Linked DNA regions of Macaca fascicularis. The protein of the gene in region 2 interacts with the protein of the main gene of each other region in a pairwise test. Links are inferred from orthologs where the notes say so. Each region holds a gene or a part of one and is shown on either strand. Other genes may lie near its edges.

The links.
Region 1: the proteins of TRIP6 (region 2) and BYSL interact in binary tests that used the Homo sapiens proteins (3 or more experiments, as listed by UniProt). The two-hybrid records come from large-scale screens. The link is inferred for Macaca fascicularis from reciprocal best matches to the Homo sapiens genes TRIP6 and BYSL.
Region 3: the proteins of TRIP6 (region 2) and OIP5 interact in binary tests that used the Homo sapiens proteins (3 or more experiments, as listed by UniProt). The two-hybrid records come from large-scale screens. The link is inferred for Macaca fascicularis from reciprocal best matches to the Homo sapiens genes TRIP6 and OIP5.
Region 4: the proteins of TRIP6 (region 2) and HOXA9 interact in binary tests that used the Homo sapiens proteins (3 or more experiments, as listed by UniProt). The two-hybrid records come from large-scale screens. The link is inferred for Macaca fascicularis from reciprocal best matches to the Homo sapiens genes TRIP6 and HOXA9.
Region 5: the proteins of TRIP6 (region 2) and SNAI1 interact in binary tests that used the Homo sapiens proteins (3 or more experiments, as listed by UniProt). The two-hybrid records come from large-scale screens. The link is inferred for Macaca fascicularis from reciprocal best matches to the Homo sapiens genes TRIP6 and SNAI1.
Region 6: the proteins of TRIP6 (region 2) and RAD23A interact in binary tests that used the Homo sapiens proteins (3 or more experiments, as listed by UniProt). The two-hybrid records come from large-scale screens. The link is inferred for Macaca fascicularis from reciprocal best matches to the Homo sapiens genes TRIP6 and RAD23A.
Region 7: the proteins of TRIP6 (region 2) and HOXA1 interact in a two-hybrid assay, tested with the Homo sapiens proteins (2 studies listed by BioGRID and IntAct). The two-hybrid records come from large-scale screens. The link is inferred for Macaca fascicularis from reciprocal best matches to the Homo sapiens genes TRIP6 and HOXA1.

What each region holds. Positions count from the first base shown.
Region 1 is NC_088378.1:129,646,089-129,650,078, forward strand, and holds the start of BYSL (bystin), read right to left. Parts: upstream 2,801-3,990; 5' UTR 2,737-2,800; coding exon 2,469-2,736; intron 1-2,468. Other genes in the region: MED20 (mediator of RNA polymerase II transcription subunit 20), read left to right, coding at 3,279-3,292. UniProt on the Homo sapiens protein: Required for processing of 20S pre-rRNA precursor and biogenesis of 40S ribosomal subunits. May be required for trophinin-dependent regulation of cell adhesion during implantation of human embryos.
Region 2 is NC_088377.1:49,460,017-49,464,022, reverse strand, and holds the start of TRIP6 (thyroid receptor-interacting protein 6), read right to left. Parts: upstream 2,801-4,006; 5' UTR 2,690-2,800; coding exon 2,581-2,689; intron 2,332-2,580; coding exon 2,204-2,331; intron 2,085-2,203; coding exon 1,959-2,084; intron 1,702-1,958; coding exon 1,330-1,701; intron 1-1,329. Other genes in the region: SLC12A9 (solute carrier family 12 member 9), read right to left, coding at 3,561-4,006. UniProt on the Homo sapiens protein: Relays signals from the cell surface to the nucleus to weaken adherens junction and promote actin cytoskeleton reorganization and cell invasiveness. Involved in lysophosphatidic acid-induced cell adhesion and migration.
Region 3 is NC_088381.1:17,880,752-17,885,042, reverse strand, and holds the start of OIP5 (protein Mis18-beta), read left to right. Parts: upstream 1-1,491; 5' UTR 1,492-1,521; coding exon 1,522-1,843; intron 1,844-2,083; coding exon 2,084-2,150; intron 2,151-4,291. Other genes in the region: NUSAP1 (nucleolar and spindle-associated protein 1), read right to left, coding at 1,033-1,125. UniProt on the Homo sapiens protein: Required for recruitment of CENPA to centromeres and normal chromosome segregation during mitosis.
Region 4 is NC_088377.1:103,107,515-103,111,681, forward strand, and holds the start of HOXA9 (homeobox protein Hox-A9), read left to right. Parts: upstream 1-1,367; 5' UTR 1,368-1,450; coding exon 1,451-2,030; intron 2,031-3,078; coding exon 3,079-3,317; 3' UTR 3,318-4,167. UniProt on the Homo sapiens protein: Sequence-specific transcription factor which is part of a developmental regulatory system that provides cells with specific positional identities on the anterior-posterior axis.
Region 5 is NC_088384.1:106,067,382-106,071,573, forward strand, and holds the start of SNAI1 (zinc finger protein SNAI1), read left to right. Parts: upstream 1-1,392; 5' UTR 1,393-1,472; coding exon 1,473-1,554; intron 1,555-2,245; coding exon 2,246-2,773; intron 2,774-4,192. UniProt on the Homo sapiens protein: Involved in induction of the epithelial to mesenchymal transition (EMT), formation and maintenance of embryonic mesoderm, growth arrest, survival and cell migration.
Region 6 is NC_088393.1:13,343,611-13,347,900, forward strand, and holds the start of RAD23A (UV excision repair protein RAD23 homolog A), read left to right. Parts: upstream 1-1,490; 5' UTR 1,491-1,577; coding exon 1,578-1,649; intron 1,650-3,449; coding exon 3,450-3,611; intron 3,612-3,771; coding exon 3,772-3,953; intron 3,954-4,089; coding exon 4,090-4,145; intron 4,146-4,278; coding exon 4,279-4,290. UniProt on the Homo sapiens protein: Multiubiquitin chain receptor involved in modulation of proteasomal degradation. Binds to 'Lys-48'-linked polyubiquitin chains in a length-dependent manner and with a lower affinity to 'Lys-63'-linked polyubiquitin chains.
Region 7 is NC_088377.1:103,176,221-103,180,321, reverse strand, and holds the start of HOXA1 (homeobox protein Hox-A1), read right to left. Parts: upstream 2,801-4,101; 5' UTR 1,970-2,800; intron 1,848-1,969; exon of another isoform or gene 1,825-1,847; 5' UTR 1,754-1,824; coding exon 1,102-1,753; intron 641-1,101; coding exon 285-640; 3' UTR 1-284. UniProt on the Homo sapiens protein: Sequence-specific transcription factor. Regulates multiple developmental processes including brainstem, inner and outer ear, abducens nerve and cardiovascular development and morphogenesis as well as cognition and behavior.

The DNA.
Region 1 (3,990 bases), on a different chromosome or scaffold from region 2:
GTTGGCCAACATGGCAAAACCCCCATCTCTACTAAAAATACAAAAAAAAAATATTAGCTGGGCGTGGTGGCAGGCGCCTGTAATCCCACCTACTTACGAGGCTGAGGCAGGAGAATCACTTGAACCCAGGAGGTGGAGGTTGCAGTGAGTCGAGATCACAGCATTGCACTCCAGCCTAGGCAATGGAGCGAGACTCTGTCTCAAAAAAAAAAAATAAAAAAAAGTACTATGAAAAAAGATAGGGCAGAAATATTGGGAGTATGGAGATGGAGTAGAGTGCTGCAATCGTAAATGGAGTAGATAGGCCTCTCTGAGAAAGTAACCCTACAAGTGTATGAGAACAAACTATCCCAGAGAGAAGGAACAACCAGGCCAAACGCTCTAATTTCCCATGTTTAAGGCACAATGAAGCCTGTATAGGTGGAGTGGAATGCGCAGAGGAAAGCAGTAGAAGTCAGACTGGTAAAGGAGGCAGATCATAAAGTGCATTGTAGACCATTGTAATCCCCTACCTGTGGAGTGCTTTGTAGAGAGTATGAGATATGGCAGGGTGCAGTAGCTCACACCTGTAATCTCAGCACTTTGGGAGGCCAAGGAAGAGAGGATCACTTGAGCCCAGGAGTTTGAAACCAACCTGGGCACCACTGTGAGACCTCATCTCTACAAATAATTAAAGAATTAGTGGCTGGGTGAGGTGGCTCACATCTGTAACCCCAGCATTTTGGGAGGCTGAGGTGGGCGGATCACTTGAGGTCAAGAGTTCAAGACCAGCCTGGCCAATATGGTGAAACCCCATCTCTACTGAAAATACAAAAATCAGCTGGATGTGATGGCTCATGCCTGTAATCTTCGCTACTAAGGAGGCTGAGGCAGAAGAACTGCTTGGTCCTAGGTGGCAGAGGTTGCAGTGAGTTGAGATCGTGCCACTGCACTACAGCCTGGGCCGTCTCAAAAAAGAACAACAACAACAAAAAAAAGAATTAGTTGGACATGCTGGCACACACCTGTGGTCCCAGCTATGTGGGAGGCTGAGGTGGGAAAGATAGCTGGAGCCCAGGAGATTGAGGCTGTAGTGAGCTATGATTGTGCCACTGCACTCTAGCCTGGGTGACAGAGTGAGAGACTCTATCTCAAAAAAAAAAAAAAAAAAAGAAAAAGAAAAAAAGGAGAATATGAGATACTAACGAGGAGGCTACTGTGATAATCCAGGTGAGAGATTGTGGTGGCTTCAACAGGATGGTGTTCCAAAGCGGTGAAAAGTGGTCTGATTTTGAATATACTTTGAAGGCAGAGTCATCAGAATTTTCTTACAGATCAGATGTGGGGAGGGAGAGACAGAGAGGAGATGGGGCGGGGGAGAGAGGGAGAGAGGGGGAGAGAGAAATACAGGAGTCTAAAGTTTGTCTTGAGCAAATGAAAGAATACGCTACTGACGGGGAAGACAATGGTGAGAGAAGCAGGTTTGGAGAGGTCAAGATTTCTGTTTTGTACATGTTAAATTTGAGCTGTCAGATTTTAAATTGGAGTTGCCAAATAGGCAGTTGAATATAAGAATATGGATTTCATGGAAGAGGTCAGGGCTAGACTATAAAGTTAGGAGTAGTCACCCAAGAGATGGTATTTAAACCACGAAACTTGCCAGCACCAGAGAATATTTGAAGAGGTCAGAGGACTGAGGATAAGAGGTTGCAATAAGAGTCAGTCAAGGATACTGAGAAGTGAGGTGGCAGTAAAACAGGAGTGTTGATGTCTTAAAACCCAAGTAAGGATACTGTGGCCAGGAGGCCACTATTCAATTGCGTCAAATATTGCTTTAGATGAGATCTGGAAAACGGATGAAGCATCTCAGAGGTCAACACTCCCTCCCTAGCGAGAAAATATCAAACGTCTTTCATCTCTCTCCCTCTTTGGCTGCTAAACAATGTGTTTTCTGCTCATAACACTTCCCATTCGTTTTTCAGTTCTCAACTTAAAAGGTCCTGCTGCAATCGGAGAAGCTTCTCAAGACCAATGCTATTGTTACCAGGGAAGCGACACTTTATCATAGAAAAATATTATTCTAAGAGTCTACTTAATTGACTCTCTACTGGGCTTGACTGTAAGGTCCTTAAGTCAGACGTGCCTATGTTGTTTACTTCTGTACCCAAACATTCGATAGAACTCCGAGCATAGTACAAAGCTCGTAGTGGGTATCCCATATATATTTACAAAACCAATGGATAAATGCTAGGGTGGAGCGAGCGATTACTGTTGGCCTAACTTAGGGGATGTGTAGAAGGGAGTGCCTAAAACTAGGAGTGGACGCGGAGGGCTCTGAACAGGGTTCAGTCTCCCATTCCATTACTTTTGCAAGTGTAATACGGACCCTTTGTTGACTCGAAGCAATTCCCCTGCCAGACACTTTTTAGCTGTCCACCCCGCCCCACTACTGGCCACTGTCTTCCTCGGATCTCATCCCAGACACTCACCCAGCCGCGTGGTGCGTTCCCGCGACGCCGCGGGCTTGTCCCCAGTCCCATGCTCGGCCTCGAGCTCCTCCTGTTGCTGCCGTGCTTGCTGCAAAATCCGCCGGCTCAGCCGGGGTCCCACATACTCTTCCTCCGTTTCTCCGGTCCTGCGACCCCGCCGCTTCTCCCGGACCCCTGCCCGCACCGCATTCCCAGCCAGGATCTGATCGGCCAGGGGCGCATGTTTTTCCTGACCCCCGACCCCACGGGCCGCCTTCAATTTGGGCATTTTTCTCGAAAACGTTGCCGCGGAGGTTCGCACGTGGAGACGGCGAAAAAGCCAGATTGCGCTTGCGCGGTGGACTCCCGGCTCTCAAGAGGCCACGCGGCGATCACAGCGCCCCCTAGCATTCGGAGGCCAGAAGCGCCATCAGCGCCGCCCCTCCCACTAAAAGAGCTCCCGGGTTCCGGTGCTGGACTCCCCAATATATTTACAGCCTTTAACGTTAGCTTCTCTCAACAGTGCAGTCTTTGAGTGTCGCTCTTAGCTTCATGGGTCTAGGCCTAGAGTGCTCAGCCAAACGAGAATGTCTGGATTTAGAAACCTGTGGGCGGGAATCCGCAGATGATGTCACTAGAGGTGTCACCGAGGGGCCCTGAGACCCGCCCCACTCCTTGGGGAAGGCGTGGACCCGGCGCTCTGTTTTTACGTATTTCCGGAGTCTCTTCCGAGACCGAAGGTTGTGTTGGGGAACTGAAGCAGTTTCTGTGGGCGGATAGGGAACCCTGCGTTTCTACCGTGTGATCCGGCCGCCTTCCTGGCCCGACGCCATGGGAGTGACTTGGTAGGACTGCAGGGGGTTTTGTAGGGCGGAGCTTGGAGTTGTGAAGGGCCGAAAAGAGGACCTTGACCGTGGTCCGCCGTCCCCTGGGAGCTGTCCTCGGGTTGTGTGGATGAGAGGATGCCGTGCGAGCCGCGGGTTCCCCGGCCTTGTTTCCTCGGAGATGCGCCCCTTCCTCTTGGAAGGCGGGAAAGCAAAGCGAAGTTTTTTTTTTTTTTTTTTTTTTTTCTTTAAGACGGAGTCTCGCTCTGTCGCCAGGCTGGAGTGCAGTGGTGCGATCTTGGCTCACTGCACCCTCCGCCTCTTGGGTTCAAGCGATTCTCCTGCCTCAGCCTTCCGAGTAGCTGGGACTACAGGCGCCCACCACCACGCCCGGCTATTTTTTGTATTTTTAGTAGAAATGGGATTTCACCATATTGGCCAGGCTGGTGTCGACAAAGCAAAGTTTTTTGTTTTTTTTTTTGTTTGTTTGTTTGTTTTTGAGACGGAGTCTCGCTCTGTCACCCAGGCTGGAGTGCAGTGGCCGGATCTCAGCTCACTGCAAGCTCCGCCTCCCGGGTTCACGCCATTCTCCTGCCTCAGCCTCCCGAGTAGCTGGGACTACAGGCGCCTGCCACCTCGCCCGGGTAAGTTTTTTGTATTTTTAGTAGAGACGGGGTTTCACCGTGTTAGCCAGGATGGTCTCGATCTCCTGACCTCGT
Region 2 (4,006 bases):
AGGCCATGGCCTGTTAGGAACCGGGCTGCACAGCAGGAGGTGAGCAATGGGCAAAGCTTCATCTGTATTTACAGCCACTCCCCATCACTTGCATTATCACCTCAGCTCCGCCTCCTCTCAGATCAGCAGGGCATTAGACTCTCATAAGAGTGTGAACGCTATTGTGAACTGTGCGTTCGAGGGATGTAGCTTGTGAGCTCCTTATGAGAATCTAATGCCTGATGATCTGTCACTGTCTCCCATCACCCCCAGATGGGACTGTCTAGTTGCAGGAAAACAAGTTCAGGGCTCCCACTGATCCTACATGATGATGAGTTGTATAATTGTTTCGTTATATGTTACGTTGTTATATATTACGTTGTTATATATTACATTGTAATATATAATGAAACAATTATATATATTGTATGTTCTATTATTATAACAGAAATAAAGTGCACAATGAATGTAATGTGCTTGAATCATCCCGAAACTATCCCCCTCCCATCGCCCTCCCCAGTCCATGGAAAAATTGTCTTCCCCAAAACTGGTCCCTGGTGCCAAAAAGACTGGGGACTGCTGTAATGTCCCTGAAGGTGGCCAGGCAATTCCAGCTAGAAAGCTCATCTGAGAACATCTCAGCCCAGGGGCCCGTGGGCAGTTCTTTTTTTTTTTTTTTGAAACGGAGTTTTGCTCTTGTTGCCCAGGCTGGAGTGCAATGGTGCGATCTCGGCTCACCGCAACCTCCACCTCCCAGGTTCAAGCGATTCTCCTGCCTCAACCTCCCGAGTAGCTGGGATTACAGGCACGCCCCACCATGCCTGGCTAATTTTGTATTTTTAGTAGAGACAAGGTTTCTCCATGTTTGTCAGGCTGGTCTCAAACTCGCGACCTCAGGTGATCCACCCGCCTCAGCCTCCCAAAGTGCTGGGATTACAGGTGTGAGCCACTGTACCTGGCCCCAGTGAGCAGTTCTATCCTGCTCCCCCATACCACGGCCCCGCCCTTACCTGTTCCACATCCCAGACCTCTGACTCTGCTCCAAAACCAGCCCCTTAGCCAGGCGTGGTGGCTCACCCCATCTCTACTAAAAATACAAAAATTAGCCGAGCGTGGCAGCGCATGCCTGTAATCCCAGCTACTCGGGAGGCTGAGGCAGGAGAATCACTGGAACCCGGGAGCCAGAGGTTGCAGTGAGCCAAGATGGCACCACTGCACCCCAGCCTGGGCAAACAAGAGCAAAACTCTGTCTCAAAAAAAAAACCAGCCCCCTAAAACACCACCAGCCATCCCACCCAATCAGTGTCCCATTGCCTGTAGGACCTGAAATCCCAGGTCCCCAGGGCTTACCTGGGGCCCGTGCTCGCCTCCTCTTCCTCCTCCTGCAGGGCCAGAGACCCCAGCAGCTTCCTCTTTGGCCCCTGGCCCTGGCTCTCTCTGGCTTCTATAGCCAGGCCCCCAGACTTCACCTCGGCCTGGGAGAGGAAAGTGGGGACCCGGGAGGGGCCCAGAGGCCTGAGAGGCTCCCCGCCTGGGTGGGCCACAGCCCCTCACTGGCTGTGCCACCTTCACTTGTACGGGGAAGGCCGGACCAGCTGGGGTGCTGGCAGTAGCATAGGAGGCTGGAGTGGGGCCCCCATAGGGAGACGCTGGGAGCGGCGAGGCTGGGTTCGGCTTCAGGGAGCCCGTGCGGTAGGCAGGAGGTGGCAGGGGCTCGTATGCCTAAGGAGAAACGCAGGCCAGAAGCCGTAAGCAAGGCCCCCACTCCAGGACCCACATTTGTGGAAATGACCCTGGGTGTGGGGAAGCACAGGCTTTTGCATTTGGCAAGGTCCCGTCCTCAAGTGGCTGACATGTTGGTACTTGCAGCCGTGCTTCCTCCATGCTGAGGTGCACATCACATACATCGGGGGGTCGGGCTGGGTCTGAGAGTCCAGAGAAGGGGACAGGGTGCCGATGGGGAGGAGGGGCAGAGTCACCTGTCGCTCTGGTCGCCGTGGCACATGACCCCGACCCCCATTCAGCTCGGCCAGCGTGCTGCTCAACAAGTCTATCTCGGCATCCAGGCTTCCGGGGCGAAGGCCCCCCCTGTCTGCAGGGAGCCCCTGAGGATGAAGCCAGAGCAGGGAAGAATGCAAATCACCATAGGCCTTCTCCTGTCCTGGGTCCCCCAGACTCGGTTCTAGGGACGCCGCACATCCCACCCCGCAATCCCAGTTCTCACCTGCGTGCGCTGGAGTACTCCGTGGGACCCCACCCAGGCCGGCCCCCGATCCTCCGGTCCCCCTGGGGCCTGGTAACACTGCTCAGATGGGAGGGGGCAAAAATTGACCCTGGGGTGGGGCTGGAGTGCTGGGTTGAGGGAAGAGAGATCAAAGGTGGGGTGGCGGAGGACAGGAGGGGTGTGCATTTGGGGAGCTGCCCTCTTTGCCCCTCCTTACCTCCTCCCCCAAATCTAGGGTCCCAAGAGAGCGCAGGCGGCTGTTCCCCCCGGCTTGGGGAAGGGGTAAGAGGAAGCAGGCAGGGCGGGAGGCTGGAGCTGGAGGACAGAGGTGAGCGCCACAGCCGGGTAGCTCTTCTGTCTCACAAGGGCTGCCTTACCTGCTCCATGGGCCGGTGGAGGCCCCGGGGTGCCTCGTGGGATCGCCCTCCCCTGAGGGGCTCTGGCGGGCTCCGGCTGCTTCGGGGGCAGCCAGGTGGGCCCCGACATGGCCTGGAACGGGGGTACTCCAGACAGCGGTCTTGAAGCCTCGGGCCTCTGGCCTTCAACCCCTCTTCCGTCCCGCACCTCGTTTGGGACTCCAGAAAAGAAAACTTTTTCTGTCTTTTTTTTTCCTCTTCCTCCCTAATTTTGGGGACGACCACGCCCCCGATGACGTCACCACATTCCTGGGGGAGGGTCACGTGGCCCCCGAGGCCCTAAACTGCCATTTCTCCCCGAGTCGGCCCCCTCCTGCCGAGAGGGGAGGACTCTCCCGGGGAGCCCAAGTCACTGGGGGCTGCGGGCAGCTGGGGATGGGAGGTGCAGGCCCGGGCCAGCCTCCAAGTCCACGGATGCGTCCAGGCCCCGCGCCCCAGCCCTGCACGTGGCAGCCTCACTGCGGGAGGCTGAAGGCTCCGATCTCCACCCCTCTGCAGAGCTCTCCCTTCCCACCCGCTCCCTCTCAGCTACCCACCAGCACTGCTCAGCCAGCCTGTAGTGTTTTGGTCTTTTATTCATGGTCAGCAGAGTTAGAAAAATAAAACAGAACAAAAACATCACCACCCCAGTGGGCCGGTGAGTCTGGCCAAAATGGGGAAACTGAGGTAGCCCAGAGTCACGGAGGCCTGGCCCCTAGCATCAAGGCACCAGTGAAGGGAGGCTGCGGACTCCCTCCCCTGCATGGTGGGGACAGGCGCCCAGAGTTAGTGTGCTGGAGTCCCTCTGCCAAAGGAGGTGGCATGATCCCCTTCAAACCTCCCCTGGGCTCCACGTCCCAAGGGCAGGGCCACGGGACACAGTGCTTTCCTCCTCCTCCTCCTCAGGATCGGGATGGGCCACCTGCCTGGGCCCTCTCTACCCAGCCCTGGAGGCAGGGGCATCAGAGATCAGTGCAGGTGACTGGGGTGACCCCATGAACCAGCAGCGTGGGGCCCAGGTCTCGGGTTAGAATCTCCAGTAGCGCCAGGTATCGGGGGTAGCGGGCAGGATCGGCGGGTGGCCGAGGCAAGTACAGGAAGGTGAGGGCTGTGGTGGGGCCCTCGGTATCCCCACCCTCCGGCCCACCCGGCCCTCCTCCTGTGCCACGCCCCTGCTGGGCCCGAACCAGGGCGTTGGCGCTGCGTGCCAGGGCCTCTGCCTCCACATCTCCCCGCCCACTGTTCACAAAGTCCCCTTCCTCCTCCACCTCGGGTTCCCCAGCCCCAGCCCCCTCGCCCCACACCACCTCCTGCACCTCAGCCCGGATCCTCAGTTGGCTCAGCAGTGCCCGCAGCCGCCCCTCGGCCGCCCCAGGCGCCTCCCTAGGCCCCAGGCACAGGAAGATCC
Region 3 (4,291 bases), on a different chromosome or scaffold from region 2:
CAGTATTATGTGGGAAGTCTCAACTATTAACAAAATATATAAAACCGCTATCCTACATTGAATCCCCAAATCTTCTAACATCTTGTTTTTTGTTTGTTTGTTTGTTTTTGTTTTGTTTGAGACTGAGTCTCGCTCTGTCACCGAGGTTGGAGTGCAGTGGGTGCGATCTTGGCTCACTGCCACCTTGGCTTCCCAGGTTCAGGCGATTCTCCTGCCTCAGCCTCCCGAGTAGCTGGGATCACAGGCGAGTAGCTGGGATCACAGGCGTGTGCCACCACGCCCGGCTAATTTTTTAATGGCCAGGCTGGTCTCGAAATCCTGACCTCAGGTGATCCAACTACCTTGGCCTCCCAAAGTGTTGGGATTACAGGCATGAGTCACCGCGCCCGGCCAATTCCCCTAACATCTTGTAGCCTCGGAGTCAAAGACCTTACTGGTTTTGATAGATACCATCACCACAACAGTCATCAATAAGCACATGAGTATACTAGATCAGGGCTGAGTTATAAAAATTTACCCAAGGAGGTGGTCCCCTAAAAGTCGATTTTTTCTTTCCCCCTGACAGGTCCATCAATAAAGTATCAAGAGATTATCGGCAATATTACAAATCACTGAAGTCTGTGTGGGGTTTTCTAGAAGCTGAGCCAATTATTTACTTAATTGTCTAACGATTAACGACACCCCTTCTGCTTTCTGGGCCTGCGTTTCGTAATCGATGACCTGAGAGGTATAAAGTAATTTCAAAAAAAAAAAAAAAACACAAAAAACGAAAAACAACAAACCACCCCTCGGAACAGAGGCTTATCATGTGAGCACCCAGACAAGCCAGCTTCAAAATGAGGTGAAAACTACAGTTCCTCTTCCGTTTATCAGAGTTCTAACTGGGACCACCGTGAACCACATCTACTGCCCGAGGGGCAGGGACGGCTGCTTCAGTCCCCGGGCTTCCCGTTCGGTCCCTTCGCACCGCATCTCCCTGAGGCCGCTACTCCCGCCGCGCCCGCCCAGGGAACTGCCCCGCCAGCGTCGTACCCGCAGGTTGGCTCGGAGACCCAGACTCTTGGCTAAGTTCTGCAGGTCACTGTACTTGAGGGAGTCCAGCTCCTCTAGGGAGGGGATGATCATCGCGATTCAAAATCCCGGCGATACTCAGAAGATGGATCACCAAGTCTCGTAAGCGAGGTTCAAATCCCTGGCGCCACTCTTAACTTTGACTAAGCTGAAATTTATAGACAGTTTAAATGAAGAATGCCGCGCTTCCATTGGTTGAAAATGCCTCAAAGGCGGGGTTTCTAACCCTGACCAATAGAAAGGCTGATTTCCCGTCCCAACAGTCGCGCGCTTTTCTCACACTTCACGAATACGCAGGCGCCGAAGGGCCTGTAAGACCGGTTCAGGTAACGAGTGCGCGGACTGGGACTCCAGTGCTTGGATTGCCCACGATGTCCAATGAGGACGCAGGAGCTGTGCTTGGGGCGGGGCCTGGCGTGTATTCGAAACGACGGCGCCGGCTGAGAGAAGATGGCGTTTCAGCCGCGGCGGCATCGCTCCCCTTGTGCAACGCCGCCCCAGGGTGACTTTTGTGATGGCACTGAGAGGGCGATTGACGAAGCATCTTTTACGACCTCCATGGAGTGGGATACACAGGTGGTGAAGGGGTCCTCGCCGCTCGGCCCCGCAGGGCTGGGGGCTGAGGAGCCGGCCGCCGTCTCGCAGCTGCCGTCTTGGCTGCAGCCTGAGAGGTGCGCTGTTTTCCAGTGCGCACAATGCCACGCCGTGCTCGCCGACTCGGTGCACCTCGCCTGGGACCTGTCGCGGTCCCTTGGGGCCGTGGTCTTCTCCAGTGAGTGCAGTGAGGCGTTCGGGAAAGGCAGAGGCTAGCCCGAGAGGTTGTTCCCGCCTTCTCCACCTGGGGAAGAAAACGGAATGAAAATTTGGAAGCACATAACTCCTTGGCCTGGGGATGGGGCAGGGAACTGGGGAGTCTCCTGACATTTATGGCGGGGATGAGTCTGTCTAGAGGAGAGATTTTCCATTTCAAGGCCCGCAGAGTATGAGTTCTGACCCGTGTTTGTGTTCCTAGGAGTTACAAATAACGTCGTTTTGGAAGCGCCCTTCCTAGTTGGCATTGAAGGTTCACTCAAAGGCAGGTACGTATTGATAATTACAGATTGGTCTCTAGTCCCTGACTTTATGAGACTGAGGAGCGTGGAACTGACATGTACTTGTTGAGCAAGTCTGTTGACAGCATTTCCTTTTTTTTTGTTGGTTTGATTTTTTTCTTTTTGAGATGGAGCCTCACTCTGTTGCCCAGGCTGGAGTGCGGTGGCGCGATCTGGGCTCACTGCAAGCTCTGCCTCCCAGGTTCACACCATTCTGCCTCAGCCTCCCGAGTAGCTGGGAAGGCATGTGAAGTCATGCCAAATTGTGAATATGAAGAAAAAAATGGGGCCGGGCGCGGTGGCTCACGCTTGTAATCCCAGCACTTTGGGAGGCTGAGGTGGGTGGATCACATGAGGTCAGGAGTTCAAGACCAACCTGACCAACATGGTGAACCCCCATCTCTACTAAAAATACAAAATTAGCCGGGCATGGTGGCACACACCTGTAATTCCAGCTCTTTGGGAGGCTGAGGCAGGAGAATCACTTGAACCCGGGAGGCAGAGGTTGCAGTGCACTGAGAACACACCATTGCACTCCAGCTTGGGCAGCAAGAGCAAAACTCCATCAAACAAACAAATACATGGAAATTAAAAGTGCTACTCCAGTTATAAGCTGATATGGAGGAAGTTTGAGTGGTATGAGTAGAAGATCAAACCAGCCACAGCATTCCTTTAAACCAAAGCCTAATCCAGAACAAGGCCCTAACTCTCTTCAATTCTGTGAAGGCTGAGAGGTGAGGAAGCTGCAGAAGTTTGAAAGTAGCAAATGTTGGCTAGGTGCAATGGCTCATGCCTGTAGCCCCAGCACTTTGGGAGGCCGAGGTGGGTGGATTGCTTGAACCCAGGAGTTTGAGACCAGCCTGGGCAACATGGTGAAATGCTGTCTCTACAAAATACAAAACAATTTAGCCGGATGTGGTGGTGCACACCTATAGTCCCAGCTGCTTGGGAGGCTGAGAAGGAAGGCTGGCTTGAGCCATAGAGGTCGAGGCTACAGTGGAGCTGTGATTGTGCCACCACACTCCAGCCGGGGTGACAGAGCAAGACTATCTAAAAAAAAAAAACAGAGGTTGGTTCTTGAGATTTAAGGAAAGAAACCTTCTCTATAACAAAAGTCCAAAGTGAAACAGCAAGTACTGATGCAGAAGCTGCAGAAAATGAAAGTGGGTACACTAAACAACAGATTTTCAGTGCAGATGAAACAGCCTTCTATTGGAAGAAGATGCCATCTCAGACTTTCATAGGTAGAAAGGAGAAGTATTACCTGGCTTGAAAGGAGCTGGTCACAGTGACTCACACGTGTAATCCCAGCACTTTGGGAGACCAAGGTGGGAGGATTGCTTGAGCATAGGAGTTCAAGACCAGCCTGGGCAACATAGCAAGAACCGATCTCTACAAAACATTTAAAAATTAGATGGGCATTATAGTGTGCACCTGTGGTCCAGCTAATTGGAAGGCTGAGGTGGGAGGATCACTTGAGTCTGGGATGTCAAGGCTGTAGTGAGCTGTGATGGTACCACTGTACTCCATCCAAAAAAAAGAAAAAAAAAAGCTTCAAAGGACAGGCTTTCTCTCTTGTTAGGGGCCAATGCAGCTGATGACTTTAAGTTGAAGTCAATGCTCATTTACTGTTACTATCTATAGCTACTATAGATAGTTATTCCTCTGATGGATATGGGCAAAGTAAATTGAAAACCTTCTGGAAACCCAGCTAAATTTTGTATTTTTAGTAGAGACGGAGTTTCACCATGTTGCCCAGGCTGTTCTCAAACTCCTGGTCTCAGGTGATCTGCCCGCCTCCCAAAATGCTCAGATTATAAGCGTGAGCCATTGCGCCCGGCCCAGTAAATTAATTTCCACTGACACATTTGTTTATAAGTACTGTGCTTTGTCTGAACTAATTAATTCCTACGTGGAATTTCAAATTAATGACACTTTATTTCACAGTTTGCTTTTTGGTTACCTATATTCACAAGATTACTATATGTGTGGTGTGGGACTTCATTTACCAATAAACCTAATATATTTTGTTATTTGTTCTTTTTTAGTATCCATTGACATGAATATTTCTTTTTAGCTATGTGTTTTTTGTTTTTTTTTTTTCTTTTTTAAGACGGAGTTTTGCTCTT
Region 4 (4,167 bases), about 54 Mb from region 2:
CCCTCCCCGTTCTAATTTCCAGCCCTGGCCTTGAGCTGTGGTTGCCTCTCTTTGGGCCTTGTACCTCTCCGCCGAGTCGCCAGGTCCGTAGGTAACCAAGGCGAGGCCCGGAGTACTAGCTGGAAAGGGGGAAAGGAGCCCTGAAAGGCTCACACGGCCCCGGGACAGGCCACATCGGTGCGGACCTCCCAGCCGCCGGAGCCGCGGGGTCTCAGGCGAGGCTGCCTTTCCCCAAGCCGAACTCTCCTTCCGTTGATGCCACTTGGAGTTTTTTCCCCAGTTGGGGTTCAGGGAGCTCAACTAGGCTTGCAGCACTCAGGGTTAGAGCCTCTGAGGCTGGAACACAGGGCTGGGTCGCCAGCCGCCTGCGCCTGGGAATCCTGATTTCCAGCTGATGAGAAGGGCGGGCTGGGTGCGCGTTTGCGTGGGGTCGACGGCCGGGGGCCGAGCGCCCCACACAACCAACCAGGCCCTCAAACCCTTCGCCCTGGGGGCGACTGGCCGCTCCCTCCTGGCCAGCTCCTCAGTGGGGTCCTCGCAACAAAGGCGAATTTAAGGACTGCTCTTGCGCCCCTCGCTCCAGGCGGGTAGCCGTGGGGACCTACACCCGCGGTACTTCCTGAGCGGCCAGTCCCTGCCTGGAGTGCCCTGGTAGGGCCGGCGGCTGCTCCGTTTGGGACGGATCCTGCGTTGAATTTGACTTTTCGCAGGCGGCCGGGGGTAAACTCGCCTCTCCCGGGGACCGCAGGGATTATTTACAGGGAGCTCGCCAACCAAACACAACAGTCTAACCTTTCCAAGTCCTCGTAAATTTTTACTGCTGGGAGCCAGGGCGAGGCAAACGAATCTGTTGGTCGTTCCCGACTTCCCGCCAGCCTGTGTGGCTTCTGAAACAATAACTCCTTATGAAATATCATAAATATAGATTTAAATACAGTAGAGCGAGAATGCGATTTGGCTGCTTTTTTATGGCTTCAATTATTGTCTAATTTTATGTGAGGGGCTCCGCTGGCCGCACTCGCACGCGGGACCCGCGCCTCCCTGATGGCGTGATTAATTGTGATATAAAATAGTCCGCTTAAGAAGTGTGTGTATGGGGGGGAAGGGGGAGTACAGAGGCAAGGCTAGATTTGATCTTTTAATCTTCGTTGGCCACAATTAAAACAAACCCGATCGTAGAGCGGCACGATCCCTTTACATAAAAACATATGGCTTTTGCTATAAAAATTATGACTGCAAAACACTGGGCCATTAATAGCGTGCGGAGTGATTTACGCGTTATTGTTCTGCTGGGCGGGCACGTGACGCGCACGGCCAATGGGGGCGCAGGCGCCGGCAACTTATTAGGTGACTGTACTTCCCCCCCTGGTGCCACCAAGTTGTTACATGAAATCTGCAGTTTCATAATTTCCGTGGGTCGGGCCGGGCCGGCCAGGCGCTGGGCACGGCGATGGCCACCACTGGGGCCCTGGGCAACTACTACGTGGACTCTTTCCTGCTGGGCGCTGACGCCGCCGATGAGCTGAGCGCTGGCCGCTATGCGCCGGGGACCCTGGGCCAGCCCCCCCGGCAGGCGGCGACGCTGGCTGAGCACCCTGACTTCAGCCCGTGCAGCTTCCAGTCCAAGGCGGCAGTATTCGGCGCCTCGTGGAACCCGGTGCACGCGGCGGGCGCCAACGCTGTACCCGCTGCGGTGTACCACCACCATCACCACCACCCCTACGTGCACCCCCAGGCGCCCGTGGCGGCGGCGGCGCCGGACGGCAGGTACATGCGCTCCTGGCTGGAGCCCACGCCCGGTGCGCTCTCCTTCGCGGGCTTGCCCTCCAGCCGGCCTTATGGCATTAAACCTGAACCACTGTCGGCCAGAAGGGGTGACTGTCCCACGCTTGACACTCACACTTTGTCCCTGACTGACTATGCTTGTGGTTCTCCTCCAGTTGATAGAGAAAAACAACCCAGCGAAGGCGCCTTCTCCGAAAACAATGCTGAGAATGAGAGCGGCGGAGACAAGCCCCCCATCGATCCCAGTAAGTGTCTCCTCCCTTCAAATCAGCCGCCACCACCGCCTCCATGCCGGCCTCCCGGATCTGCTGGCCCGCCAGCTTTCTCTCGAGCGTGCCTTCGTCCTCGCTAGGAGCCTCTCAAGTTGGGGCCAGGAGCCAGAATTTGGTGTTTGGGACGCCTCAGATAGGGCCCCAAGACCGGAGAGCCGTGAAGAGTGGCCCGCAGGGCTACGGGAGAGGAGGCTGCTGCTGCAGCGACAGGGGGCGGGGCGGGCACTTCGGGCTGAGCCAAGACTGGCCGCCCCTCTCCCTGGCTGCCCGGGCCTAGGACCGAGATACTTTGGGCCGTTCTTCGAAAGCAATGCAGCCCAGAGAGCCTTTTGTGCAACTAGATTGTCCGTGAACGGCGGCAGCCAGGGCAGCCGGAGCCGGGACGCTGGGGGAGACGGCCGATTTCCTTCCACTTCTTGCCTTCGGCCAGTGGCGGCGTAAATCCTGCCAAGATAAGGCGCGAGCGACCCGGGCCACAAGGGTCCCCATGCCAGATTATTCAAATAAGCCACAGACGTGATCAACGGCCTTGGGGCGCCCTGACGGCATGCCCAGCTCCGAAGGCCTTCCAGGAAGGTCAAATAAGGAGTAGGGGGTGAGAGCGTAGAGGGAAAGGTTGGGAAGGAAAGACGAGTCAGTGAACGGGACAGAGGAATCCTAATCTTGCTACAGGACACAAGGCAGCATGCTTTCCGTCTGCGTGGCAAGGAGATCTGTTTCCAAATTTCATTCTATACAGCGTTCGGGGAGTGGGAGGAAGGAGAAGGGGGACAAGAGGACGGAGGATGAGAAAGGAGGGTCTCGGAGGGGAGGGGGAGCCGAAGTTTTACTGCGTGCAATTGTAAGTGACCCTCTGTGCTTCTGTTTGCCAGGGTTCCATTGTGTCCGAGGCCTGACTGCCTTTCCTAACCAATTCAGCAGAGTTCTGCACTTCGGCCAGAGACCCCACCCAGGAGGTTCCTTTGCCCCCAGCAGGGTGTGCGTATCCTCCTCCTAAACCCAGTGTTTCTCTTCTCCACAGATAACCCAGCGGCCAACTGGCTTCATGCGCGCTCCACTCGGAAAAAGCGCTGCCCCTATACAAAACACCAGACCCTGGAACTGGAGAAAGAGTTTCTGTTCAACATGTACCTCACCAGGGACCGCAGGTACGAGGTGGCCCGACTGCTCAACCTCACCGAGAGGCAGGTCAAGATCTGGTTCCAGAACCGCAGGATGAAAATGAAGAAAATCAACAAAGACCGAGCAAAAGACGAGTGATGCCATTTGGGTTTATTTAGAAAAAAGGGTGAGCTAGAGAGAAAGAGAACTGCCCGTCCCCCTTCCGCCTTCTTTCTTCTCTCACCCCCACCCTAGCCTCCACCATCCCCGCACAAAGCGGCTCTAAACCTCAGGCCACATCTCCCCCAAGGCAAACCCTGTTCAGGATGGCTCGTAGGCCTGCCGCTTTGATGGAGGAGGTATTGTAAGCTTTCCATTTTCTATAAGAAAAAAAAAAGTAGGGGGGGCATTAGTGCTGATAGATGTGTGTGCTACCTTGTATATATATTTTTAAAAATCTACCTGTTCCTGACTTAAAAGAAAAGGAAAGAAACTACCTTTTTATAATGCACAACTGTTGATGGTAGGCTGTATAGTTTTTAGTCTGTGTAGTTAATTTAATTTGCTGTTTGTGCGGCAGATCGCTCTGCCAAGATACTTGAACACTGTGTTTTATTGTGGTAATTATGTTTTGTGACTCAAACTTCTGTGTACTGGGTGATGCACCCGTTGTGATTGTGGAAGATAGAATTCAATTTGAACTCAGGTTGTTTATGAGGGGAAAAAACAGTTGCATAGAGTATAGCTCTGTAGTGGAATATGTCTTCTGTATAACTAGGCTGTTAACCTATGATTGTAAACTAGCTGTAAGGATTTCCCAGTGAAATAAAAAAAATTTTTTTAAGTGTTCTCGGGGATGCATAGATTCATCGTTTTCTCCACATTAAAAATGCGGGCATTTTCGTCTTTCCATGATCTGTAGTTCTGTCTTGTCTATTGTATATATAATCTATATAATTAAAGAAAATATACATAATCAGACAAGCTTGAATATTGTTTTTGCACCGGA
Region 5 (4,192 bases), on a different chromosome or scaffold from region 2:
CACCAAGTGACCAAAACAGACAGTAGTTCTGCCCTTCATGTTGCTGGTGGTGGTGTGGGGTGCTTATAGGTTTTTCTAGTCTTCCTTCACAGGTGGAAACAAGAACGGTGAGACCTGTGAGGTTTATTTCAGCGCTACTCCCGGGCCTGGTATGCCTCCCAGGGAAGCTGGGGTGGGGGTGCAGCTGCCCCTCACCTGGGCCCACCCCACATGCATTCAGTCAGGGCCCCTACAGAGCAACGTTAGAGCCTTTAGACACAGGATCGAGGATCTTCACAGGGGTGAGGAGACACGCCCGGCCCATCCCTTCTTTCTCCCGCCGGCCTACAAGGATCTTTTTCTACGAAACTCTAACCAGGTCCCTCGTCAGCTGAAAATCCTTCGGTGGCTCCCCAGTGCCTTTGAGGCAAAGTCCAACCTCCTACGAGGCCCTGGGGCACAGCACATCTGACCCCTCCGGGCCTGCCCACCCCACGCCATCCCTGAGAGCTGCTCTCTAGGAGTTACTCTGAAGCAGTTGCCACTTCTTCCCTCGGGCCTTTTCCCTTGATAATTCTTCACTTCCTCTGGGAAGTCACCCCGACCCCCTGTCAGGTGACCCGCCTCTTAACGGTCGCTGCGTCCCGTCTCTCCCCCGCCAAAGCACACTTCCCTTTGCATTGTAATTGTCTGTTTACTTCGTCTGTCTCCCCCACTGGACCGGGAGCTACCCTTCGGGAGAGGCCTTGAATGTCCTGTCCGGGGCTGTGCCCTGCCCCAGGTACAGCTGGGCCCTCCGCAAACACTGGCTAAGGGAAGGAACGGGCGCTCTTCGCTAGCTGGGCCAGGCTGCTTTGCAAAACGGCCGTAGCATTTCACGCCGCCAGGAGCCACGTGCGGTGTCCGTTTCCTCGCTTCCTCCCCAGCAATGTGCATTTCCCTCGTCAATGCCACGCTCTCCAGGCGCCAGCCGGGCGGAGGAAATTTCCGCCCCCTCCTAAGCCCGAGGCGGGGGCGGGCGTCGGAAGGTCAGGTGTCCCGGCCCGCGCGCAGCGCCAGGGGGCGTCAGAAGCGCTCCGACCACGGGGCGCTGAGCAGGTGGGCGCGCGGCGTTCTGGCGGGGTCCCACCTCGCAGGGGCCTCGCTTCGCTCGACGTCCCGCCCCGGACAGTCCGAGCACCACGGACGACCCGCGCTGCGCCTGCGAACTCCGCCTCGGAGGAGCCCCCGCCCGGGCTCCCAGCGCCACGCGGCGCGAGCCCGGCCAGCCCCCGGCGCACCTGCTCGGGGAGTGGCCTTCGGCGGAGACGGGCCTCCGATTGGCGCGGAGGTGACAAAGGGGCGTGGCAGATGAGGCCCCTCCCCTCCCACCCCCTTGGAGTATTTAAGGGAGTTGGCGGCGCGGCTGCTCTCATTGCGCCGCGGTCCGGCCTTGTGAGTGGTACGTTTGCGCTGCTCCTGCGCGACTCGGCGACCCCAGTGCCTCGGCCACCATGCCGCGCTCTTTCCTCGTCAGAAAGCCCTCCGACCCCAATCGGAAGCCTAACTACAGCGAGCTGCAGGACTCTAATCCAGGTGTGTTGGAGGGGTGGTGGGCTCCAGGAGGTTTGGGGGAGACAGGCGAAGGCTGCGTGGGGGCCACCTGAGGGAGGCGGCCTGTCTGAGCCAGGATCGAGTCACAGGGTGTTTTGTGGAGCATTGCGGGCTCGGGCTCGGGCTCGGGAGACCGGGCAGGTGGGTCCCCAGTCCTGGGGATCGGTCTGGGTGGTTGGGGGAGTGCTGTGTAGAGAGCAGGGGTTTTGTGCTTGGGTGGCCTGTGTAGCCGGCGAGAGGCGGAGGAGCTCCGCGAGAGTGGGAGAGGAGGCCTGTGTCAGGAAGGCCCTCTGGACGCTGCTGGGGAGAGTCCGGAGTCCAGAGGGTTGAGGGGAGGGGTGGGGAGACGAGATGTGTGTGAGGAGGGGGATTGGGGCAGGGTGGTGGCTCCAGGGCTGGGGTGATGGGGTTCTGGCCTCAGGCTGGGGACTTGGGACTTAGGAGAGGGAGATCTGGAAATGACCCCCTTCAACTGGGGGTCCTACCTGTGAGAGACTCAGATTGGGTGACCTGGGCCAGGAGGGCAGGAACCTGGTCTGTCCTGTGGATCATTTTTTTGATCTAATTATGTGTTGAGAATCAGCCCTACCCAGCCCCTGGCCAGCGGTGGGTTCATGTTTGTTGATTGAGTGAATGATTTAATTAACGCCTGACTCTGCTTTTTCTCTCTCAGAGTTTACCTTCCAGCAGCCCTACGACCAGGCCCACCTGCTGGCAGCCATCCCACCTCCAGAGATCCTCAATCCCACCGCCTCGCTGCCAATGCTCATCTGGGACTCTGTCCTGGCGCCCCAAGCCCAGCCAATTGCCTGGGCCTCCCTTCGGCCCCAGGAGAGTCCCAGGGCGGCAGAGCTGACCTCCCTGTCGGACGAGGACAGTGGGAAAGGCTCCCAGCCTCCCAGCCCACCCTCACCGGCTACTTCGTCCTTCTCCTCTACTTCAGCCTCTTCCTTGGAGGCTGAGGCCTATGCTGCCTTCCCAGGCTTGGGCCAAGTGCCCAAGCAGCTGGCCCAGCTCTCTGAGGCCAAGGATCTCCAGTCTCGAAAGGCCTTCAACTGCAAATACTGCAACAAGGAATACCTCAGCCTGGGTGCCCTCAAGATGCACATCCGAAGCCACACGCTGCCCTGCGTCTGCGGAACCTGCGGGAAGGCCTTCTCCAGGCCCTGGCTGCTACAAGGCCATGTCCGGACCCACACTGGTAAGTGCCCCTCCAGGCGCCCCCACCGTTGCTTTCTGTGGCAGCTTTGTGAATTGGGACTTGCTGTTCTCATTCGCAAAGTTGTGGACACTGAGGCCCCGAGTCTCCTAACTTCTAGCTCAAGTTCAGGGGCCTGCTCTCTGGAAATGTTTGGCAGAAACGTTCCTTCATCAGCTAAGCAGATGAGCAAAGCAGACACCTTCCCAATCCCTGCAGCCTGTTTCTCAGCCAAATGGGCTGGAGCTGGATATCGGAAAAGTGCAACCAACACCTTGCTCTGGGGGCCACAGGTGTGAAGGGGCCCACCCAGCCCCACCCTCTCCCGGTCCGCCCCCTCCCTAGCCAGACAGGATGTTGTCAGACCCCCCACCTGGCTCTGAATCCTTTGAGAACTTTCTCAAAGCTTAGGCTGATGTTTCACTTCTGTGAGCCTCATTTTCTCTATCTTTCAGATGGGCATGAGAACAGCTTGTGGGGTTTCTGTACGGGCTAAATGCAGGAATGCATATGGGAATCACCTGGCAAAGTGCCGGGTACCTGCTAAACTGTCACAAAAATGGTTCCTTGGCATTTGCTCTGCTTCCCTGCTGTGTGACTTTGGGCAAGCAACTTAACCTCTCTGAGACTCGGGAGAATTATGATGGCATATGTTTTAGAGAGTGGCTGTAGGCCGGGCGCAGTGGCTCAAGCCTGTAATCCCAGCACTTTGGGAGGCCGAGACGGGCGGATCACAAGGTCAGGAGATCGAGACCAGCCTGGCTAACATGGTGAAACCCCGTCTCTACTAAAAAAAATACAAAAAACTAGCCGGGTGAGGTGGCAGGCGCCTGTAGTCCCAGCTACTCGGGAGGCTGAGGCAGGAGAATGGCGTAGACCCGGGAGGCGGAGCTGAGATGCGGCCACTGCACTCCAGCCTGGGCGACAGAGCGAGACTCCGTCTCAAAAAAAAAAAAAAAAAAAGAGAGTGGCTGTAAAGGTGGCTAATCACTTTATAGTAATTTATTATACCCGAATAGTTCTCAGGTCGGCTTCCCCACCCCCACTCAATCCTAGCACACACACCAGAAAACAGCAATTTTAGGGCAGAAAACACAATCACGTCTTTCGAAAATTTACTAAATATGTAGAAAACTTTCTGGACATGGAGAAAAGGTAGAACTTTTTAGAACTTGAACGGTGGCAGCCACTGTGCCTGGAGCTGCTCTTTGGAGAGGGACAGTTGAGGGAGAAGATTCCACAGGGTTCAAGCTGGCCAGGTTCTACCATTCCTGGCCCGGCGCCTGACCTCTGAGCAGTGAGGGTCAGTGAGGTATCTGGGAGGACTGGCATTTCGCGGGCTTTATTGGCATCTTATTCGACTAAGGCTACCCATTTCTTTTCCTTCCTGCACCAGTAGCCCTGATTTTAACATGTAAAGGT
Region 6 (4,290 bases), on a different chromosome or scaffold from region 2:
TCACCATATCTCTTAGCTCCCCTCCAACCTGGGGGGCAGTGGTGTGGAGAAGCTGCAGGCCTGAAATTTCATCTGCTCTCCTTCCTGGAGCCCAGAGGGGGGCAGGAGAAGGGGGTGGTGTCTCTAATCCCCCAGCACTGAGGAAGAATGGGGCTCTTCTCATTTCACCCCGCCCTTTCTCCCCTGCCCCCAGGACTGGGCCATTTCTGGGTGGGGCAGTGGGTCCCAGATTGGCTCACACTGAGAATGTAAGAACTACAAACAAAATTTCTATTAAATTAAGTTTTGTGTCTCCCTCCTGTGTCTCCTTTTGGGGAAAGACAGACTTCAGGAAACCCAGCAGTGGTCTTTTTGGGGGTGGGGAGGGTTTCCAGTATATCTCCTTTTTCAGCTGTTGCTAGAGAGGTTACTGACTGTTCCACAAGATTCCAGGGACCCGTATTTACCCCATAACCCTCAAAACCAACGGGGGAATGACTGTTGCTGCCGTAAATACTCCACATATTAATTTACTGAATCCTTGAACCTAACTGGTAAGTTTTGGTTCTGTTTATTGGTTTTATTTTTAAGATAGACTGTTGCTCTGTTACCCAGGCTGGCCTACAATGGCTTAATCTGGTTTACCCTGCCTCTTAAACTGGCCTTCTTCATGCTTCTATTCCTTTGGGGTCCTGTGGCTCAGCCCAACCCCTCTGGGATGCCTCTAGGACTGGCAGATCCAAGGGAGAATTCTGTTTTTAATGTCGTGAGGCTTTGAAAGTTAACATCTTTAAATACTTTTGGGGTCAGATTGGGGATAGTACAACAAAGTACTCCTGGCGGGAGACCCAGGAATTAAAATAGTAGGTTCATTCCAAAAATCCGGATCCCTAAAGAATGAATGAGGCTACAAAATGGCACCTTGCCCCTGCTACCAATGTAAGGTTTTTTTCCTCTGCTTGGTGGCCTTTCAGGTATTTCTAGTCTTGAGTAACTTCCACTTTGCCCTATCTGCCAGAATAAAACTCGGGGCCAGGTGCAGTGGCTCGTGCCTGTAATCCCAGCACTTTGCCAGGCCGAGGCGGGCGGATCACCTGAGGTCAGGAGGTGGAAACCAGCCTGGCCAACATGGTGAAACCCTGACTCTATTAAGAATGCAAAAATTATCAGGGCATGGTGGGGGTTCCCTGTAATCCCAGCTACTCGGGAGGCTGAGGCAGGAGAACTGCAGGAACCCGGGAGGCAGAGGTTGCAGTGAGCCGAGATCGCGCCATTGCACTCCCGTGACGTCACCGCTAACGGGCATGGCGTCACTTTGGAGATCTCGTGTGCTGGCAGAATGAGAAGCCCCGTCCCCGCCCACGCCCACAACGCGGAGTTTAGTCTGCGCATGCCTCGCTCGACACCGCGCTCGTGCGCATGCCCATAAAGGCCAAGGAGGGTGCGCACAGGTCACGTGCGCCGGTGGTCAGCGCGCGCATCGCCTGCCCCGGAAGTGGTCGGCGCGCGGCGCGGCGCGCCTGGGAGCTAAGATGGCGGCGGCGTGAGTTGCATGTTGTGTGAGGATCCAGGGGCCGCCGCGTCGCTCGGGCCCCGCCATGGCCGTCACCATCACGCTGAAAACGCTGCAGCAGCAGACCTTCAAGATCCGCATGGAGCCTGACGAGACGGTGCGGGCCAGGCCAGAGCCCGGGGGCGGGAGTGACGGGTGCCGGGGATGGGGTGGGGGCGGGGAGACTAGGATCCCAACGGGAGGGGCAGGGAGGACGGCGCGGGTCGGCCCTGTCCAGACCCCCGACCTGCCCGACTTTCCTGGACCCCCCGATGGTCTTTAGCCCAGTCCCCAGCGGATCGGGCGGCGCTCCTGGGCCGGTCTCCGGGCGAGGCCCCACCCCCGGGCCTCTGGCCAGGTCCCGGCTCCAATGTCAGCGCTCTCGCGGGGCGCGGGAGTCACAGGCTCGGAGGCCTGGGCAGGCCAAGCTCTCCAGGACTGGGCTCCACGTTCTCAGCTTTGCAGGCTTCTCCTGGGGACACTGGTGGTGGAATCTAGGAGTAATGACCAGGAGATAACGAGTAGTGACGACAACAACGATGTTAATGATAATAAAGGGATCTCAGTCTTTATAATTTTGGTGGTCCGTGTTTGTTGGGCGTTTATTTTTTATCAGTCATCGAGTGTTTTAGTGTTGTTTTACTGCTCTGCAGAACGGGCTTGTCATTGAGGACCTCTGACCATTTTACAGATGTGGAAACCTTGGGGTTAAGGAACTTTGTCACAGTCACACATGTAATGTCAGAGCTGGGATTCACATTCGGTTCTGCCTCGTGTGAGCGTCCACTATATAAATATTATGCTGCCTTTTTAGTCAAAAATAGAATTAGGACCTAATTCAAACATAATGACTATTGGGTACTTGGCACTTTTTGCACAGTGAGGGAGACATTGAAGTCCACTTTTTGTAGAAAAGGAAACACACATTTTTTGATCAGCTCAACGGTTTGGCTTTGGGCAAGTTAACCTCTCTGTGCCTCCGTTTTCTCAAAATATCAAATGAACCTGTCGCCTGCTGGCTTCCGCCTGTAATCCCAGCACTTAGGGAGGCAGAGGCAAGAGGAGCGCTTGAGCCTGGGAATTCAAGATCATCCTGGCAACACAGTGAGACCCCATTCTCTACAAAAAGAAGAAACAAAAATAAATAAAAGGAGGTCAATTAAATGTATTTCATAGGAGGCTTAAAAGGTATGCCACATACACACTTACAGTAGCACTATTGGCCAGGCATGGTGCCTCATGCCTCTGTAATCCTAATGATTTGGGAGGCGTAGGCAGGAGGATTGCTTGAGGCCAGAAGTTTGAGACCAGCCAGCCTAACATAAGGAGACTCTTATCTACAAAAATAAATTTTTTTAAAATTAGCCTGGTGTGGTGGTGTGCACCTTTAGTCCTAGCTACTCCCGAGGCTGGGTGAGAGTACCACTTGAGCCCAGGAGTTTGAGGCTACAGTGAGCTGTGGTCGTGCCACTTCAATCCAGTGTGGGCAACAGTGAGATCCTGTCTTTTAAAAAAGAAATATCACTGTGAACTATTAGTCACTGTTATTGTCCAAGATACAGTGTAGAGTGGGGGACTGTCCCCTTTATTCTGTTATCATACTTTATGCCACCTGAAATTAACATTTTCTTCACATTAGTGTTCTCTCATTGAGAGCAGGGACTTGTGTTATGTTCTGTGCTGTGGCCTCCATGTCTAAAACAGCACCTGGCACGTAATAGGTGTTTAGTATAAATAAATACTGTGTTGAATGGCATGATGATTGAATGAATTCTTATCTAGCATGCTTTAGATGCTGAGAAAGCTTAAAAATTCCAGCATGCTTGCCTCTCTGCCATCAGGGCTTGCAGCTTCTCCGTCCTAAACTAGAAGAGAGAATCTTGGGGTCTCCAGTGACTGTCTGTACTACTTCTTCTAGGTGAAGGTGCTAAAGGAGAAGATAGAAGCTGAGAAGGGTCGTGATGCTTTCCCCGTGGCTGGACAGAAACTCATCTATGCCGGCAAGATCTTGAGCGATGATGTCCCTATCAGGGACTATCGCATCGATGAGAAGAACTTTGTGGTCGTCATGGTGACCAAGGTGGGTGACGTGTGCTGGCTGGGAGGGACGAGCAGGGGAGCTGGCAAAGAGCCTGTGTGCCCAGGAGAGATTAGCCATGAACAGGGCGGGGCCACAGCGGAGCGGGTTGTTGGGTCTGATAGGGTTGCTGATGCCAGCTCCCTTTTTCTTGCTGTTGCAGACCAAAGCCGGCCAGGGTACCTCAGCACCCCCAGAGGCCTCACCTACAGCTGCCCCAGAGTCCTCTACATCCTTCCCGCCTGCCCCCACCTCAGGCATGTCCCATCCCCAACCTGCCGCCAGAGAGGACAAGAGCCCATCAGAGGAATCCGCCCCTACGACGTCCCCAGAGTCTGTGTCAGGGTAAGGCGGGGCAGCAGTCCCAGCTTGGGCCCTGTCTTCCTAGCACATTCCAGTGTCCACATAAGTGGCCCACACACCTGGAGGGAGGGCAAGCCGCCAGAAGCCAGGGTCCGATTTCTCTCTCTTGAATTTGCAGCTCTGTTCCCTCTTCAGGTAGCAGCGGGCGAGAGGAAGACGCGGCCTCCACGCTAGGTGGGTGGGTGGTCCCCAGGGCAGAGGCGACTGGGTGCCCCAGCCATCAGCTGGGCCTTGTCTGGGTGCGGGAGGGCCTGGGAGCTGCCCTTTCCTCTTCCTGGTGACCCAGGCTTTTCTGCTCCCTCCACAGTGACGGGCTCTG
Region 7 (4,101 bases), about 54 Mb from region 2:
CTGAAAGGAACAGTAGGTTCTGTGAATTCTCCTAAAATCAGGAGGGATGTTAAGGCCCACCAGAAAATGTGTGCTGGCACCCAATCTGGATTAAGGTGTTAACCCGGCACCAAGTCTCTGGTCCAGAATTATCTGCAAACATATTATCCTGGCCAGGAGCTCCCCAGATAGGATCAGAAAGGAAGAGACTGTAAATGGAAAGAAAGATAAGCTAAGCATGTGCTTTGGGTAAGAAGTCCCAGCCCAAGGAGATGCCTGGGCTGTGGTCTGGGACTGGAGCCGCCTTAGTGTGAGGTAGTCAGAGTGTCTGAGGTAGAAGACCCCGGGGAAGGAACGCAGGGCGAAGAGCTGGACTTCTCTGAGGATTCCTCAGCCTTCTCGTCGTTTCCTGGCGGGGTGGCTGGAGAGATGGGCAAGAGACCCTCCTTCTCACGTTTCTTTTGCTTCATTCGGCGGTTCTGGAACCAGATCTTCACTTGGGTCTCGTTAAGCTGCAGGGATGCAGCGATCTCCACCCTGCGGGCACGCGTCAGGTACTTGTTGAAGTGGAACTCCTTCTCCAGCTCCGTGAGCTGCTTGGTAGTGAAGTTGGTGCGCACCGCGTTGGGTTGACCCAGGTAGCCATACTCTCCAACTTTCCCTGGGGCAAAGTGGGAAGCCATGAGATGGAAAGGTAAAAATTTTTAAACCGACTTGAGATTACCTACACACTTCATGGCAACACTCAGGTAAAGAAAAGATCAAGAACTCAACACAAATCGGGCTGTGGAGGGTGAGTGATGAGGTGTAAAGTGTTAACCTGAAGTCAACCATTAGCGTGGTCAGATCGGTGATTAATGGAGCCTTAAGATATTAACAGAACACTACCGTCACAATAACCACCCCCACACACTTCCTACTTCCCAAATGTATAAAATCCTTGAGAACACGCCAATCCCTGAGGCTTCTTTGCCCCAACACCTCTGGGTACCCTCTCCATGCACTACAACACTAGTCTTAAAGCCTTTAAAAAAAAAGATAATTATTAATTTTCCTTGGAAATTAAGCATACCAGCTCCTTCCAGATTAATCAAGGAGCATCCACCAACCAGCAGGACTGACCTGTTTTGGGAGGGTTTCTTTTGACTTTCATCCAGTCAAAAGTCTGCGCTGGAGAAGATGTCTCCGATGCAGGGGAGCGACAGGCTTCTTGGTGGCTGGCGTGGAGAGGGGACAAGGAGTTATTATACGTAGCCAGGGCCAGGCTCTGGTGCTCTTGTCCATATGAGTGGTGAATGTACTGAGGCGAGCCCACCGCGCCCCCGGCATAACGCTGGTGGTGGTGGTGATGCTGTACCATGGGAGATGAGAGATTTCCAGAGTAAACAGCGGGAGCGCACTGGGGGTACCCACCACTTACGTCTGCTTCCTGGTTTAACGCGTAGGGGCTGTAAGGCGCACTGAAGTTCTGTGAGCCATAGCTTGGACCACAACTCGAGTGGGAGTAGGACACCCCCAGGTTCCCGGAAGTCTGGTAGGTAGCCGGCGGGGGGTGGTGATGGTGGTGGTGGTGGTGGTGGTGAGGCGAACCGATCTGCACCCCCCTGCCCACTAGGAAGCGGTCGTCGCCGCCGCAGCTGTTGGTACTGACCGCGCACGACTGGAAAGTTGTAATCCCATGGTCCGAGGGGTAGGCTTGGGCTGAGCAGGTCCCCGAGTCGCCACTGCTAAGGATGGGGTATTCCAGGAAGGAGTTCATTCTTGCATTGTCCATCTGTCACTGAGTGACCTGGTCCTGCGAAGCCCTGGGTGACCGTGCCAACTTTCTCACTTCCTCCATGGGGCCTGAGAAGAAAAATGATATGAATGTACAGTGCGCAAGAGGGGGGGGGCGGGAGGGCGGAGGACGCTAGGGGAGGGGCACGTGACGGTGTCAGCCAATGGCTGAGCCTCCTGCAAAAGTTTGCCGGCTTCCGCGGTGATGGATCACCGTTTCAGTGGCATTTAAATCCCCGGCGCTCCGCCGTCTAGGTGACGTGCAGTCGCCCCCCCAGGCAGCCCAGGCGGCGGCAGCTGCTGCGGCGACTGCAACGGCCGATTTGGAGTGCTGGAGCGAAGAAGAGCAAAGGCTGCCTTCTGCGCGCGCCCGACTCCGCTGCCCGCCCCGCCAGGCCTCCGGGAGGTGGGGGCTGAGAGGCGTCCCCCGCTCCCGCCCCCTCCCCACTGTGCACTGAAAGATGAACTGGCGAGAGGTGAGAAGGGAAGAGGGCTCCCGGCTCTCTCGGGGCGCGAGTTAGTGGGCCGGAGTTCGCCGGGTGGCCGCAGGTTCGCGGGCCCAGCCCGGAGCGCACCCAACCGGAAGGCGGGGAATCCGGCTGACACCGAGCCCCGGGTTCCCAGGCCGCCTTCTCTGCTCTGAGGCTGGGCTGGGAGACCATGGGGCTGTGAGGAGCGCACAGAACCGTGGCAGGGGGCGAGGCTGGGCCACCGGCTCTCCAAGCGCGGAATGGAGAGGGAAGAGCGCAGAGGGCTGGCTGGGAGGAACTCGGGTGGGGGTGAAGGAGACGAGGGCAAGAAAAGAAACTTCCCTTCTTCCAGGAGAGTCTCCGAAACCCTCTCCCCACAGCCCCCGCTCTTCATTAGCATGGCAATGAGGAGTTTCTGTAATTCGACCGGGGAAGGGGGGGTGCGGAAGAGCCCTGGAAACAGGGATTGCCGGAAAAGGCCGGGGGCGACCGGGCTCTTCTTCCCCACCCTCCCTCTCTCCTCGCTCTCCGCCGTTTCTTTCCCACTCAGTTTTGCAGCGGGAGCCCTCCGGGATGCGGAGCTACTCGACCGCCGGATTTTTAGGGGTAGGAGGCGGGGGAGAGAGATGACGCTGGCGGACGTGGCCAGCGTGGGGGCCGGGCCGTGCGCTGCAGGCCATCTGCCGGCGCCCGAGACCCAGGAGCCTCCGCTCCCGCGTGGGCCTCGCAGGGCCGGTCCACAGCTCCAACAAAGTAGCTGAACTCCCTTCGTTGCGTTCCTCTTTTTCTGGAGGGGAATGTTAGAAGAGAGAGAGAGCTTCCTTTTGTAACCTTCCTCATTCTGCTGCGCGTCTAGAGTGGGTGCGGGGACTGGCAGGTGGGAGGAGCGGTGGACAGATGGCTGATGGTGGACAGAACACTTTACCCCAACGACACCTCCTCCCCTTTCCAACTGGCTGGGTAGTTGCTTATGAGAACCTTCAAGTCTTTCCTTAGAGGGACACGTGAAAATCTGAGCGTCATCCCAGGCCAAGGGTCCTGTTCCCCATCACCCTCCTTCTACCCTGACGCTGCTGAGGTCGTTAATTGTTGTTTACTATTAGGTTTCACGTCAACCCTGGGCTTGTAGAGAGGAAAAAGCCAAACGGAGACCAATAATTGATGCAGTCTTGGGTAGGAGAAATCGAGAGCTCGTCCAGGAAGCTTTGCAGCCAATGCTGTATAAATTTTACTCCAACCATGTGTACAATGTTGGAATCAGATGGAATTTATAGTGAGGAATGTATGTGGGTTTGGGGTTTCCACTCCCCTTCAGCCTTTCCTCCCCTGTTAGAACAAGGAAGGTTTTTTTTTCAAGGCAGGCACATTTCAAATATGTTAGTCACCCTTTCAGTCTTCTGTATTCTGTTCTCCACCTACTGAAGCTCCCCCAAACCTGTCCCCTCAAGAGGGAAAACCCATGCTGACTCTGGACTCCCTCAGTAACAATGAAACATTCTCCCCAAACATTTCCTTTCAGGTTGGTATTTCTCTGTGACTTTGATCCATTCCAAGCATGGTTAAGAGGGAGCAGGGGCAGGAAAGAGCCGCTTCCTGGGGTTGGGCAGCCACCCCTGCCCCAGTTTCGGCTCCTGGGAATCATCCTTCTGGAGAAGGGGAAAGGCAAGGCGGTCCTCCTGGAGGTGGCTTCCTTGGGAGCGCCAGCTTCCAGCGGCAGGGAGAGAAAGAGCTCCTGTGGGGGAGTGGGCAGGATGTGAGGAGGTCGGTGCTGGCTATGAGAGCAATCCTTCCTCCAAGCCTGAGCAAGTCAGTACATTTTCCCCCGCTGCCTCATTCCTGTACCTTGGTTGCCCTCCTCAGCCTGGGTTTGCAGGAC